2 linked regions of the Notamacropus eugenii genome follow. The protein of the gene in region 1 interacts with the protein of each later gene in a pairwise test. Links are inferred from orthologs where the notes say so. Each region holds a gene or a part of one and is shown in the gene's direction. Other genes may lie near its edges.

Region 1 (7,822 bases):
CAGGATCTAAGGCCAGCCCTAATAATATGTAAGACTCAATTTTCCCTGGATTTGATTTGACATCCGCCTAGCGAGCAAGGGAATTAGTCATATGAAAACCCCGGGAGTCTTATTTATCCTGATTGTGCTCTCTTTGTGGTTATGAGGCGGGAAGTCTTCCCCTAGGTCTTCCTGGAGTTGAGACGAGACAACTCCGCATCCTTTCTGGCTCTGAATTTCTGTGATTCTGTGATTAAGTAACCTAACAACTAAAGAGCTTAAATGGGATGGTTTGCTCCTCTTTCAGACTGATTAACTGAGGAGGGAGATGAAGGAATAAAAATCTGGAAAGCCTGGGGCTTTGTCACAAAGCCCAGTTGCCTAATAGTGTGATGAGGATGTTTGTTATACTCAAATTTTTTTTTCAATTTATTGTTTTGGATGTTAGACTTTTGTATTTTATCTTTCTCCTGGCTGAGTTAGATTTGGGATCCCTCCTGAGCTAACTACCCACAAACAACATGAATAAGATCCCCACATAATAAATAAGCTTTAGATGTATGAGATAGCCTTAAACTCACCTGGTCAGAGGGAGAAAATTGTCCTTTGTCAAGTGTGACTGGCAGCAGAGATGACCAAACCAGGGGGCCATTTGTTGGGGTTCATTATGTGTCATACTGCTCTGTTGAACTCTGTAAGACAAAGATGTCCTAGGATAATTTACTTGTCTGCCCATCACTAAACTGAAATGCCATATTTGAGTCTGTGTGACGCTGAGGAAAACAATGTGCCCTGAGAATGTGTGGTAATCTTTTGTGATGTCACCTCTAGAATGTCTTGAGTGCTTTGGAGACAAGCTTGTGCGAAGATCCTGCACCTTGAATTTCACTTTGGTATGATTTTATCTTTTATTTTGAAAAAAGAGGTTATTTGAAACATAAACATGTAGTTATCAAGATAGCTGCTCCAAAATATAACATAGGCATAGGGAACAAATAGGTCTAATGGCATTTTCCAAATCATGTACTCACAGAACCCTGGTGTTCTGACTAATGGGAACCAGTAGAGTGATTTAAGAAAATTTCAATGCTGAAATATGAAATATAAAATTAAGTATATTAAAAACATTCTATATAGTGAGTTAAAAATAATCTTATTCCCCTCTAACATCCAACTTTCCCCAAGCTCTGTCTTTTTTCCTGGGGGTGAGTGGGTATTCCATCTCCCCCCCCCATCTCCTGGATCAGCCTTTAAGGTTTGAATTCATGTAGTTCATGCCTCAAAGTGGTCCATGGTTGAATAATTTTAGGAAATGCTGTTCTAAACCATATATTTATTTGAAGCCATGGTCTAGAGGATGAGGTAGAGTGATGTTGCATGTTCTTTTGCACTCAGATTTCCTTCCTTTGGGCATAAATAATTGAGGGTGTATGGTAAGCAAAGAAGCAAAATAACTATTCTTTTTTTCTATGGGTAACTGAGGTTTGAGCGTGGATATGGAAGAAAAAGTATATCATACTTGTTCCACTGAGTATCTCTCTTGGCCAAATTAAAATTCAGAGGGGCATGTGGTATAGGGGGAGGTGCCAGATTTGAGAAGCTTTTTGGTTCCACCTATGATTGACATATCGAAGAAAAATACAGTATGTGATTTTTAGTTAAAGATAGGCTTATTTCTTTCCCAAAATTATTGTGTGTCATCATGAAAATAATGTCAAATATCATCAGAATATTGGGATTTCAGCCCTAGTTCTCTCTGCCACTACTTAGCTTTGTAACCTTGGGGAAGGAACTAAATCTTTTCTTTTCTGAGCTTCATCATCTGTAAAATGAGGTAGCTAGTTCAGATCCGTTGTCTTCAAAGTGAGGACATTAGAATGACCCCACGGGGGTTGTGACTTGGCCCTAATAGATGAATTGATTGATCATTTATCCATTGAGAAGATGGGTCCCATTCTTGTCTCCCCTCCCCACCAGCCAATGGTAGGTCTTGTCTCTAAGACAACTCAACCACTTCCTCTAACACTTCTGTGTAACTTTACTCACTCCCTTGCACATTGGTTATATGGAAATGTGTTGGTCCTTCATGACCCAACTTCTGATCTAGGCACCAGGCAGCATCTGTGTTGGCAAAACTCCATCATTCCTTACCCCTCACTAACTTCACCCAATATCCTCTGGATGGTGACTACTGCAGTCTTTGAGCTCCGGGGAAAAGTAACTATATGCCATCAACCTTGCACAAACTTTTCATTTTTCTTTGGGAAGGAGTGAGTAGCATAGAATGAACAGATACAGATGGATTAAAATGAAATTATCTTTTACTCCCAATGCACTCCTTTTTTGAACTTCCTTATTTCTGGGGAGGGTACCATAATGCTTTGTTACCCAGGTTCTCAACCTCCATCTTAACCTTAACTTCTTATTCAATTGAAACTGTTCTGTTCAAAGTTACCAGCAATCTTTTAATTGCAAGATCCAATGGTCTTTTCTCAATTCTCATCCTTCTCTGACCTCTGTGACTGTGTTTACCACCTCTCTCCTGGGTACTTATTCTTTCTTCTTTCCTAACACTGCTCTCTTGGTTCTCCTATCTCTCTGACCACTCCTTAATTTCCTTTACTTGTTTATATCACATCCCCCAACAGTAAGTATTACCTTTTCTTGATGTGGATGATGTGTGTGTGTGTGTATATGTGTGTGTGTGTGTGTATATCCAGTCATAATCTTTCTCCTGAATTCCAGTCTCACATCATAAGTGCTTATGATGTATATATATATAAATATATATGTTATATATATAAATATATATGTTTTATATATATGTATATATATATATATATATATACCATAGGCATTTCAAAGTCAACATATCCAAAAGGGAATTCATTACCTTTTCCCCTTCACGACCCTCCTCCCAACCCACCTGTTTTCTGAATTTTCCCATTTCTGTTGAGCACACAATTTTACCCATTAGTCACTCAGGCTCTCAACCCTGGTGTTATTGATTTATCCTCACTCTCTCTCACCCCATATGGAAGTCCCGCCATGTTTACCTCCCCAATGTCTCTTGTATTCTTCCTTTTCTGCCTACCCATACAACCATTACCTTAGTTCTACGCCTCATAGCCTCTCACCTAAACTAAAGTAATAGCTTCCTAATTTGATCTCTTTGCCTCAGGTCTATCCCCTCTTTAATAAATCCCTAACATAGCAACCAAAGTGACTTTTTCTTAAAGTGCAGGTCACTTCCTTATTCTTCATTAACTCCAGTGGCTTCCTATTGATTTTAGGATCAAATGTTATTTTATCTGTCTCATCCCCACCCCCACCCACCAGTCCCCTAAGATCACTTCCCTAGTTATATCCTGGCCTCTCACTCACCCACATATGAATCCATTGCCAAATCTTGTTTTTACCCTTGCAACAACATCTCATATATTCCTTTTTTCTCCCATTCATACAGCTATCACCCTATATTTAGGCTCTCATCAATTTGCCTGGATTATGGCAATAGGCTTCTAATTAGTCTCCTTGTCTGTAGTCACTTCTTAGCCCTACCCATCATCAGTTCATTTCCCAAAGTGTTTTTCCCAAAGCTTCTAGGTCAGCCTGTGTGTGTTTCCCCTTCTTCCCCTCATTAAACTCAACTGGCTCCCTATTATCTGTAGGATCAAATATAAAATCCTTTGACATTTAAAGCTCTTCATTACCTGGCTCCTTCCTCCATTTCTAGTCTTTTTACACTTAATTCATTCCCTGTTCTATGACCTAGCTATATTGATCTACTCAAACACAAATACTTCATCTCTAACTACTCCTTGTATTAGATGGTTGACCCTTATGCCTAGAGTGTTCTCACCTTCCTCACCTCTAAATCTTGACTTTTTCAAGGTTCAGGACAACTCCCACCTTCTGCAGGAGACCTTTCCTGGTCCTCTCAGTTGTATCTTCCCCTCGAAGATCATCTCATACTTACTCTGTGTATGACTTCTTTGTACACATATATGTACATGCTGCCTTCCACATAAGAATGTGAACTCCTTGGGAACAGGATTATTTTTGCTTTTATTTGTATCCCCAGTAAGTGATTAATAAATGCTTTCTGATGATCTGACTAGTGTATATAATTATCAGTATAGTAACTATCATGTAGTAGCATAATTTATAAATGGGTAACTATGGAGACATGCACAGAAATTTGTTTCTACGAAAACAAGAGTGCAATCAAAAAAAGTTTGGAAACTCCTGGACTGGATAATTTTTGTTTTAAAAATATATGTTTTATTGAACATTTTTAAAACATTACTGTTCTATCTTAATGACACCCCCTCATTATAAACCTCCCTTGTAACAAAGAAGTACAACTGAGTAAAAATCCATGCAACATCCCTCCGTAGAGAGCACAGCCTTATTTCTTTCCCAGAGTCCATCACTATTCTGCTGTTAGACAGGGTCATGTTTCATTGGCTATAAAGATGATCTTTCTTTATAGCCTCCTGCCAGCACTAAAATTTCTAATCATTCTATGAAATGGTCCACCATTTCAAAACACTTACCTAAGACTTGAGGGGAGGGGATCAAACTGGTGCTTAGTCTAAGTAATGTTAAAGGGACCATCATTTTGACCAGTCAAAACAACTGTCATTACCTCTATGCCTACTTACCAAAGATGAAGAAGATGGGGGTTACAAATTTTCTGGCATCAGCAGGGAGAACAAAGCCTATGGAGCTGGCCAGAGGTATGATAGTAGCTTTCAGTACCTGGTTTCCGATTTACCAAATCGCTTTTCATTTGGTTGCTAGTAGATGCTACCAGAGGTTTGGATTGTCTCCTGTTGCTATGTCACAATGGGGGCTGCCCTATTCATTGCCCTCCACCTTGTTTGCACACTTCAGTCACTCAGCCTGAAATGTGGAATGAAGGAGTCAAAAGTAAAGGTAAAGCCTAAAATGCTTCATATAGGAATGACCGGGGTGAAAACAGCTTATTAGTGATCAGAGAGCGATTTTGAAAGCTGACCCTCCCCAAAAGAGTTTTCAGAAGGAAAACAGAGAATGGGAGGAAAATGATTGAAATTCTTTCTCTTAGTAGAAGAAATTGTAACAACTTGGGGCGAGGGTGACCAGATGGATTGCACAAGATGCCAAGAGAGCATTGGCAATTCAGGACACTCTGATTCAAAATATATTTACAGCCTTACGTTGAACAGATCATTTTCTACCAATTTCATGCCATACTGATTAACTAGAATTAAATCTGTATCTCCTTATGAGAAGATGCTGCTTCTGGTGGTGGAATAATAACATAATGGTTGTATGAGTATGGGAAGGTTTATGTTTAGGACTTAAATACTGGTAGTTTTTTGGTTTGTTTTGTGTTGGCATGGTGGTGTGGGTGGACATAGAGGTGGCCAGCAGCTCCTGGAAGAATCTATTACTGTTGGTAGCTCTTTCTTTTGGGATTCTGTCTATCCGCCCCATTAGGTCTGTGCATTAATATTTTGAGAGGCAGCATGGTGTGATTAACAGAGAGACAGTCTCAGAGTCAGAAAGATGGATTCTAGTTCAGCTTCTGACACAAATCAATTGTGTGATCCTGGGTAAGTCATTTAACTTTCTAGTGTCCTCAGGAGATCAGCTTTCTGAAGTTGTTGATCTGCATTAGTAGAGAATGTTCCCTCAGGTCTGGTAAACCTCCCCTTGCCATACACACACACACACACACACACACACACACACACACACACACACACACACACACACATACACACCAAAAAACTTATGGACAAGTGATAAAAATACAAGATATGGAAAACCAGGAGAGGAAAGAAAGGGAAATGATGTGATTTAGAAGAATTTTTCCCTGAAAGATCTATCCTTGATGGTAGCTATGTCTGTGACTTGGCAGTCAATTCATAGAAAGTAAGGACCCAAGGCTGATGAAGGATATAGTAGATGGTTAGACAGACAGAAGAATAGGAGGTGGGCAGTGTGTTGGGGGAGGGAATATTTACCAAACTTGATTCTGTGCTTTGGAGGAGGGGAGTATTCATTCTTCCTCTGCACAATGGAGGGGTCTATGGAAGATTAGGCATGGGATGCATAGAATGCTTTCTGGTGATGTGTAATGAAGATGGATAACATCTTCCCAAGGGCTCATTGGCATTGGCTGAGGGTTAGTATCCTGGGGATTAGATATTCTGTTCCTGTGACATGTCTTTCAAGAAATTGGAGACAATCTGTCCTCTTGCTGTGTAAGGAATACTCCTAGAAAAGAGAGGTTACTCTTTTCCAAAGTGCTTTGAACTACTACTGTGTTGTATTAAGCAAAAAAATTGCCTGATGCATCAAACAAAGATAAGAGTAGAATTTCTGGCCCTGGTTTCATCAATAACTAGTTCTGTGGCTTTGGGCACATCAGGTCTTATCAGAGCCTTACAGCTCCCCATCTGTAAAATGAAAGAACTGGGCTAAATGAGGAGCTAGGAATTTTTTGAGGGGAGAGAAAGAACTTATTTTGTAAGATAAATAGAATATAGCTTTTTGAAGAACCACACTTTCTTGTGTACATACATCACAGAGTCATAGATTTAGAACTAGAAGAGATCCTTAGAGGTCATCTTATTCAACCAGATAAGAAACTCAGGCCCAGGGTTGGTGACTTGCCTAAGGTCACACAGGTTGCAGAGTCTAGGACTCAAACTCAGGTCCTAGTTTTTTTTTAACTGTCCCAGATATAGATCAGCTCAGATGACACTTCTTTTCTGATTCTCCTAGTCATTAGCATGTATCTTTGCCACCTAAAAGTATATTATATTTATTCATCTGTTCAAATATTGTTTACCCTTCCTTCTCCTCCCTCTCCTACCCCCAGTAAAAATGTCAGCTCCCTGAGGTATGGGGCTATTTTTACCTTTAATTTTTTTATTCCCAGCAATTCACACAGTTGACTTGTACATAGCTGACAATAAATGCTGATTTAATTGAATTATGTGTGTATATATATGTATATATATATATATATACATATATGTATACATATATATTTTTGTTGTTAGAGGTTTGGTACCAATCTCCTCTATGCTGTTTTACATATTGTCATTTTATTTAATTCATTCACAGTGCATTGGGAGGCAGCCTAGTATGATAAGAAAATAAAGACTTGGTCTTGAGATCTGTGTTCAGACTCATCTCTGACACATCTTGCCTGAATGGCTGTAGGCAAATCATTTAACACCTCAGTATCCCCAAGAAATTCTCTAAGAAGACCAAAAGTGCAGAGCAGGTATCTGTATCTTTATTGGTAAAGGGGCTTACTCCTACAGAGTTCTGGTGAAAACAAACCAACCCTATGAACAAGAGTTGTGTCCAACTCTTCATGATCTCATGGACCATATCACATCAGTGCTGTCCACGGGGTTTTCTTGGCAAATATACTGTTTTGATTTACCATTTCCTTTTCCAGTAGACTAAGGCAAACAGAGTTTAAGTGACTTGCCCAAGGTCATCACACAACTAGTAAATGTCTGAGGCCAGATCTGAATGCAGGTGTTTCTGATTCCAGGCCCAAGGCTCTATCCACTGGGTCATTAGCTGGCTTCTACGTAAACAGTGGTTAAGTGATGTCAAGGTCACATAGCTAGTAAATACTGAAGTTGGATTCGAACTCGGGTCTTCCTTACTGCAGATCCAGTGTTCTATCCACTGAGCCACCTAGCTGCCTCACATACATAATGCCAAATAATGACTATTAGTGTACTTTAATGATGTCAACTAAAACACAGATATAGGCTCATTTACTTTATCTGTACATCGAAAACCCACTGCCCCCCAACCCCAA
Region 2 (7,306 bases), on another chromosome or scaffold:
AGGCTTGGAGTCAGACAGATCTGAGTGCAAATCCATTCTCAGACACTTACTAGCTGTGTGACCCTGGGCAAGTCACTTAACCCTATTTGCCTCAGTTTCCTCATCTACAAAATGAGCTGAAGAAGGAAATAACAAACCACTCCAGTATCTCTGCCAAGAGAACTCAAAATGAGGTCACAAAGAGTTGGACTTGACTAAAATGACTGAACAACAACAAATCACATTATAAAAAAACGCACTGATCCATCAACTTAAGGCACAATGTTGATTTACCCATCACATAAAAGTTAAAATAGAGTGTTACTAGTAGAAAACACAGTATTTCAAAGGAATTTTGTTAGATATATGTCAGCCAGATTCAGAAGATTTTCCCAGACTCAAGAGATGTAGAGGCAGCAGCAGCATGACATAGAAGGATAAAGGAGATTAGATAGCTAGAAGGCTCCAAAGAGACAAATAAAATTGCGATGATCCTAATAGGAAGTTGTCATTGTTTGAAAGGAAGTCTCCAAAATGAAATGTTCTAGGAAGAGCATCAGATGTTACCAATCTCAGCAGAATCTATCTGGGAGTATAAGGCTATTCATGATTACTGAAGAATAAGCTTTTTGGAAGCAGGGACCACACTTGATAGGTCTGTGTATCTCCCTCAGACCCTAGCAGAATTTATTGCACATAATGGGTGATGAATATCTATTGAATGAATATTAAATGAGCCTGGCAAACTTCAAAGGGCATAGGCATTTTAAGTAGGGGAAGGCAAATCTTAGTGGGTAGCTTGTTCTGTGTGTGGTCTTTGCACTTAAAAATCCTTTGAAGGTGAAATGTCATTCATGTTCTACCCACTGAAATACTTCAGTTTTTGCTTTTAGCTCCATTATATTATGTTTGTTACACATAAAACCTGTGCCTGGGTATTACTTTAAGACAGATTTAGTCTACCGGAGTCTCTGAGGAACATAGTGAATATAGTAATGGACTTAGAATGTGGAAGATCTGAATTAAAATCCTACCTCACATACTTACCAGCTGTGTAATCCTGGTGGTCACTTAATCTCTTTCAGCCTTAATTTCCTCATCTGTAAAATGGGAGTAATAATAGCTTTTAACTTCCAGGGTTGTTGCTAGGATCAAATGAGATATCTATAAAGTGCTTTGAAAACTTCAAAGTACTCTGTAAATGCTATTGTATTTGATCCCCTTCCTCAATCCTCTTGTGAAAGTAAATCCCTGGTGTACCCATGTAATAAGGATCATGACCCTTCTGGCATCTCCAACCATGCCCATGTCCTCATAGTGTGGATGGAGTCTCGGAAGGCTCACTTTCTTTTATATTGTACAGTGGTTATACCAACTTGTCGTGAACAATTGTCAATATTTTGAAACACTTGACAGTTTTCACTTTCAGCTTCAGTGTTGCTTTCTCATCACTCATGCATATTACCAGGGTGGGGATCTTTGAGGGCTCTCTGTAAAAGAACTAGAGACTTTGCTAGGATGGCGTCCATGGTGAGATTCTTCTTTTGGGTCCAAAATGCCAGATTTGAGGCAGGCTTTCTGAAGGTGATATGCCCATCTGAGCCTGCCTTTCTCTTCTCTTCAAAGGAGTACATCCTATCTGCACATCATCTGCATGACCATCTAGGCTGTAAATGTTTTCAGAGTAAAATCAATGTGTTTGAAAAAGTTGCTTTATATTAGCAGTACAGTGAGTTCCTTGAGTGACCCACATACTTGTCCATGTTAAATATTTTCACATGCTTGAAAGATAGGTCCCATTTTTGTAATAGATTCTTACAGTCTTGCTACTGGGCAGCTCCAGAGTGACCTTCTTGTCTGTCTCTAGGTAAGACTTAAAAATTCAGTTTCTGACATTTTTGGAAGACCATTCATTGGTCTGAAAGTCATGATCCATGATGATGAAGCCTTGTCCTTAGCTCCCTAGCTCCTTTAACAGGTAGAGACTGTTGCTGTGGGTAACTCATCCTCTCTCCTTTTTTTGGGGGGGGGGTAGTATGCCAGTCATAGACACATAATTCTGCATGGTTTACCAGATCCTTGAACAAAAAGGAAATGGACAACTCTCTGAATAAGACTATCCTACTTCTCCTACCCTATATTCTTCTTCAAGGAGTGGTGGCCACCAAAATCTTGGCACTCTTCTAAAAGGGGATATGGTGGTTCAGGAAACACATCTTGCTCTTTTGGATGTTAGCTGCCTCAACACCTTATATGACAGCTAGCCATACCTATAGCAAGTAGGCAAGTTAAGTTTTCCTATTTGAAGAAATTTCATTGAGATTTCAGGAAATATTAATGAAATGTTGATGTATAAACCAGAGACACCTAAGGTTTCAGTTAGAAAGGGACATATTTCAAGTTGATAGGATAGGGATTAGACCTCTGATTTCATTGGTATAGGGAAGTGTTGGAAGTGTCATCTACCAAGAAGATCATCAATAGTCTGGGGCACTTAAAGATTCAGTGATTTACTTAGTATCACCAAGACAGTATGGGTCAGAGGCAGAACTTGAATGTAGATCTTCAGGGCTTTGAAGCCATCTCTGTATCTACTATATCAGATGACTCTAGAAATTTTGCAAGTTACATGTATAACCTATATTGAACTACTTGCCTTCTTAATGAAGGGGAAGGGAGGAAGAGAGAGAATTTGGAACTCTTAAGTTTTAAAAATGAATGTTAAAATTGTTTTTACCTGTAACTGAGGAACAATAAAATATTAAATTTATAAAAAGGAATTTTGTTAGTTCTAGCAACAGACTCTTATTTGTCTTTCAATGGGCTGTCCTAGTTAAACATGAGGTATCTTCTCACCAGTAGGTTGACCATTTGGTGACACTTTTTTTGTCCATAGAAACCTAATGAATACCTAAATTATATTTAAAATACAATATGAGCTGAACCACTTGATCATAGAGCAATATGAGCATGCTAACACAGAAAATAATTTTTTCCATGAAAATGAAATCTATTAATATGAATACACATATAGCAAAGCCTGATTAATTTGGGCCCTAGGTAATGGTAATTGGTCTTAAGTTGGGAAATTTTTTATACAGTTCAAGAAACTCAAACATCTGAAAATATTTCATAAAATTTCAGGTTTTCCAAAAGAAAACAAAGCAGATAGGAGGGCTTCAGGACAGTTCAATGATCCCTACATTATTTCTCTACTTTTGGATGTGGATAAGGGAGCCTAATGATGATAAAGCACCTGAAACCTGAGTAATGAGAAGGGCTTCTCTATTCCTTGGTGGCTTGGTTTCTAGGTAACCTGGAGCAGTTAGAATTAGCTTTGTCTTCTGTCAGTTCATGCAAAAGAAGCAGCAAGAAGGCAAGATGTGGTTAAGTAGAGGTGAGTGCTGTGATGATAGGGAGTTACCTAAGGAGAATTCCTGGATCTCAAGTTTTCTGGGTAACTATCTATCTGAAAGATGTTCTCTTGTCTCTTACGGTCTTGTATAATGGTGCTGAATTCTCTGTACTAGGAAACAAGTATATCATTTGTAAAGATGCTTATTTCTTAGAATGGTAACCAGAGGTCTTGACTGAGAAGAGATATCCAAGATTTATGTTACTTATTGTTTAAATGACAGTAAAAAAGCAGATTTGCTGAAAAACCAGAAGAATAACAATTCACCAAGTGTCTAGACACTCAGACCAAGTCAGTGGTTATCTATCTATATCTGAACAGGAATTCTTTCTACAGAATCCCTGACAAGTGGTCATTTTAGCCATTTCTTTAAGGCCTCAAATGAAAGGGAACCAATTACCTCCTGGGCCTTCCCATTCTGCTTTGGGAAAGCTCTAATTGTGGAGAAATTTTTCTTACACTGAACCTAAATCTGCCTCTGTAACTTCCTCTCAATGGTGTAGGTTGAAATTATTTGTAGGAGACTTTACAATTTAAAGAGCATCCTATATTCATACATATATGTATGCATATATGCACAAACATATGTGTGTGTATGTATGTGTAAGAGATCTTTTTTGATAATGTGTCTGACAGAGACCCATACTACAGATAAGAAAATCCAGTCCTAGAGAAGACAAAATGTTTGCCCAAGATCACGTAATTTGTGTGTGTTAGAATATTCTGTCTAGTGATCAGTTTGTATTTATGACCACTGGAAAAACTCAAAAAGCAAAATATGAATAATTAATGACTTGAAATTCTCTGGGCCACTCTGGCTCTCTACAATAGGCAGGATGCAGGTGTCCTATTACCTCTGGACGCTGCTGAATACTTAGTGACAGTGCTGTTGCTCTGCAACCTGGTTTGTTGTTGCTGGGCTTTCCGAGGCTTGGCTGATAGGAGACTGCAGCTTTGTTCTAAATATGGTATGTAGCATTGAAGCCACAGTGATTTTGTAAAATGTCATATGTGAAGGAGGAATATGAGAGAACTTATCTGGTCATAGTGACCTTGGTTGGCTTTTCTCTTGAGGTGGAATGGAGTGGGAAGCTGGGGGATAGAGGTATCTAGGTATTGATGGGCAATCTTCATCGAAGGCCTGCAAAATGCTTTGCTATAGCTGGTTTGGATTGAGATTGGTAGAATAAAACATGAACAATATAGATATCCTATACTTGGGAAACAGTGAATAGATCACTCTGGATGGAGCAGAAGGATTAGTAAGGGAGGGTAATGGAAAACGGAGTTGTTGGACCTGACTGGGGCCAGGTTGTGGAGGGTCCTTAATATTAAAATGAGGACTTTGGACTTTATCTTGTAGACAATGGGAAATTGTTTTTGAGCAGAGATCCAGTATGATCAAAGCAACATTTTGAGAAAAATTCATCTTGTGGGTTGGGGTTGGATTGGATGGGATTAGATTGGACGGGGAAAAGACACTATTATAATTATCATGCATGAGCAAATGGTGGACTGGGTTAAGGCAGGGACAGCATTACTAAAGAGAAAGGGACAGATATGAGAGTCACTTAAGATAAAATGACAAACTTGGTTGACTGGTTGTAAGAAGATGAGGGAGATGGTAGAATTAAAGGAGATTTTGAAGCTTTGGGTTTGAGTAACTGGGACAGTGGTACTATTGATAGAAATGGAGATGACGAGGTGGAGAGTTCATTTTGGGAGGAGATGACAAGTTCATTTTTAAGAATTTTTAGTTTGAGGCGATAATGGGAGAGCCAAGTGGACGTGTCAGATGGAAATTTAGGACTAGAACTTGGAAGGGACTGGAGATTTAGAAGCCATTTATATAGAAGTGATAACTGAACCTATGAAAGTGGCTGAGTTGTCTAAGGGAAAGGTGACTTACGAGAGAAGAGATATTCATTGTCATGCTAATGTGTAGGCAGCATTGGGATAATACTTACTGGGGAGGCAATTCAACCAACCCCATCCATTTAGTCTTTTTAATCCATCCTTCACTGTCCTGTCAAAGTGGTCGTCTTAAAGCTAGGTATGGGCATGTGACTCACCTTCTCTAAAAGCTCCAGTGGCCCCCTATTACCTATAGGAAAAAAAATACAACTTCTTTATTTGGCATTTAAAGATGTCTACAATTTAGTTTTACCCTACCTTTTGAGGCTTATTACTCATTATCTCTTTTCATAATTTGAGAATTCAACCAAAACTAAGCTACTTGTAATCCTCACACACAGCATTCCTCTGATTCTAGAGGCTGTTCACTATTTGTCTTGTTTTAAATATTGCTTGTTGTTTATGAATAGTTCTGGTTTCACAAATGAGGATTGTAAGGAAGTCACGTACACAAGTAAATCCTACCCTTGATTGAAAAATGGACAGAGAAACTAGGATTGCTGCATAGGCAAAGATAGAGCTAATAGTGGTGAGACAAGGAAGAGGAGCTATAGAAGAAGAAAAAAAAATCGTCATACAGGTAGGGAAGCAATGGGATTAAAGTAGGAGTATATCTTGTGGCCTAGATGAAAATATAACCAGGGTAACTCCAAACTGGTCAAATGAGCAATCTTGAGGAACTGTTGTGTGATCCATTGACCAGGAGGGAAGTCTCTAGTGAAGGGTCCATAGACCTGTCCTTATTCTCATACTGTTTAGCCTTTTTAAATTAAGGACTTAGAAGAAGGTATAGATGACATGTTAGCCAAATTTGCTACTGTCATGAACCTGAGGTGGATAGCTATCACGATGGACTATAGACAGGTCCTAAAAGGATTGTGGCAAGTTAGAATAACAGGTCAAGTTTAAGAAGATAAAATTCAATATGTAAAATGAATTAAAATGTTAAAAAATTTAAAAATCTTACACCTGGGTGAAAAAAAATAATCAACTGCCTAACAACAGAATCTCGGAGGTGGGGCTAGACACCAATCAGTACTTATGAAAAGGTTTGGGAAAGTTAGTGGACTGCAAACACAACATGAGTCAACAGTGTGACCTAGCAACCAAAAGAGGAATATGAACTTAGATTGAATTAACAGAAGCACAATCTTCAGAATGAGAGAGGCAATAGTCCTGTTGTGGCACTCTGATCTGACCAGAACATGGTCAGAGTATTAGATTTAGTCCCAGGTGAGACATTTTAGGAAATCTATCGATACACTGAAGCATGTCCTAGGGAGAATCATCGTTACCATGATGTGATAATTGAAAACCATGCCCTAAGAGGATCGGTTGATTGGTCTGGGTATGTTTAATCTGGAGAAGAGAAGACTTAATTGGGTCATGATAAGGGTCTTATGGATGTCTTATGGGCTGTCTTGTGGAATATTTCTTCAGGTTTGTCTCACAGCTGAGACTAGGAGCAACGGGTAAAAATTGCAGAGAGGAAATTTTGTCTCAATGAAAGAAAAATCTCCATAATTAGAGATATCACAAAGTGTGACTCAAGAGGTAGTGAATTTTCCAGCACTGGAGATCTTGGAGCAGGGTACTGGGTAAACCACTAGGCATAATTTAGAAGAGACACCTCAGGATGCCCTCTGGGCTGCCATTTTGAAATAATGATTCTATTCTATAAACAATATACAAACATTCTTAAGAGAAAAGATTTGAAAACTATCCCCCTAAATATTTATTTATAGTATTTATTCTATTAGTTTGTGAGTTCCTTGAGGATGGGGACTTTTTTTTTTTTACCTCTTTTTGTATACCCAGTGTGCAATGCAGTGACTGGCACATAGTATGTGCTTAATGAATGTTGATTGATTTTTATAATGTTTTAATGTGGCTTTCTAGAATAGACTTTAAAATCACAAAGTTTTAAATTCTGAATTCTGAAACATCCAGAAGTAAAGACATCTGGTATGGAACTCTGCTCCTGCAGTTGGTTGTGTC

What was found.
Region 2: the proteins of CBY2 (region 1) and DZIP1L interact in binary tests that used the Homo sapiens proteins (3 or more experiments, as listed by UniProt). The two-hybrid records come from large-scale screens. The link is inferred for Notamacropus eugenii from reciprocal best matches to the Homo sapiens genes CBY2 and DZIP1L.

The regions. Positions count from the first base shown.
Region 1 is NC_092877.1:296,276,060-296,283,881, forward strand, and holds the start of CBY2 (protein chibby homolog 2), read left to right. Parts: upstream 1-4,815; 5' UTR 4,816-4,830; coding exon 4,831-4,920; intron 4,921-7,822.
Region 2 is NC_092876.1:329,279,473-329,286,778, forward strand, and holds the start of DZIP1L (cilium assembly protein DZIP1L), read left to right. Parts: upstream 1-4,287; 5' UTR 4,288-4,359; coding exon 4,360-4,362; intron 4,363-7,306. UniProt on the Homo sapiens protein: Involved in primary cilium formation. Probably acts as a transition zone protein required for localization of PKD1/PC1 and PKD2/PC2 to the ciliary membrane.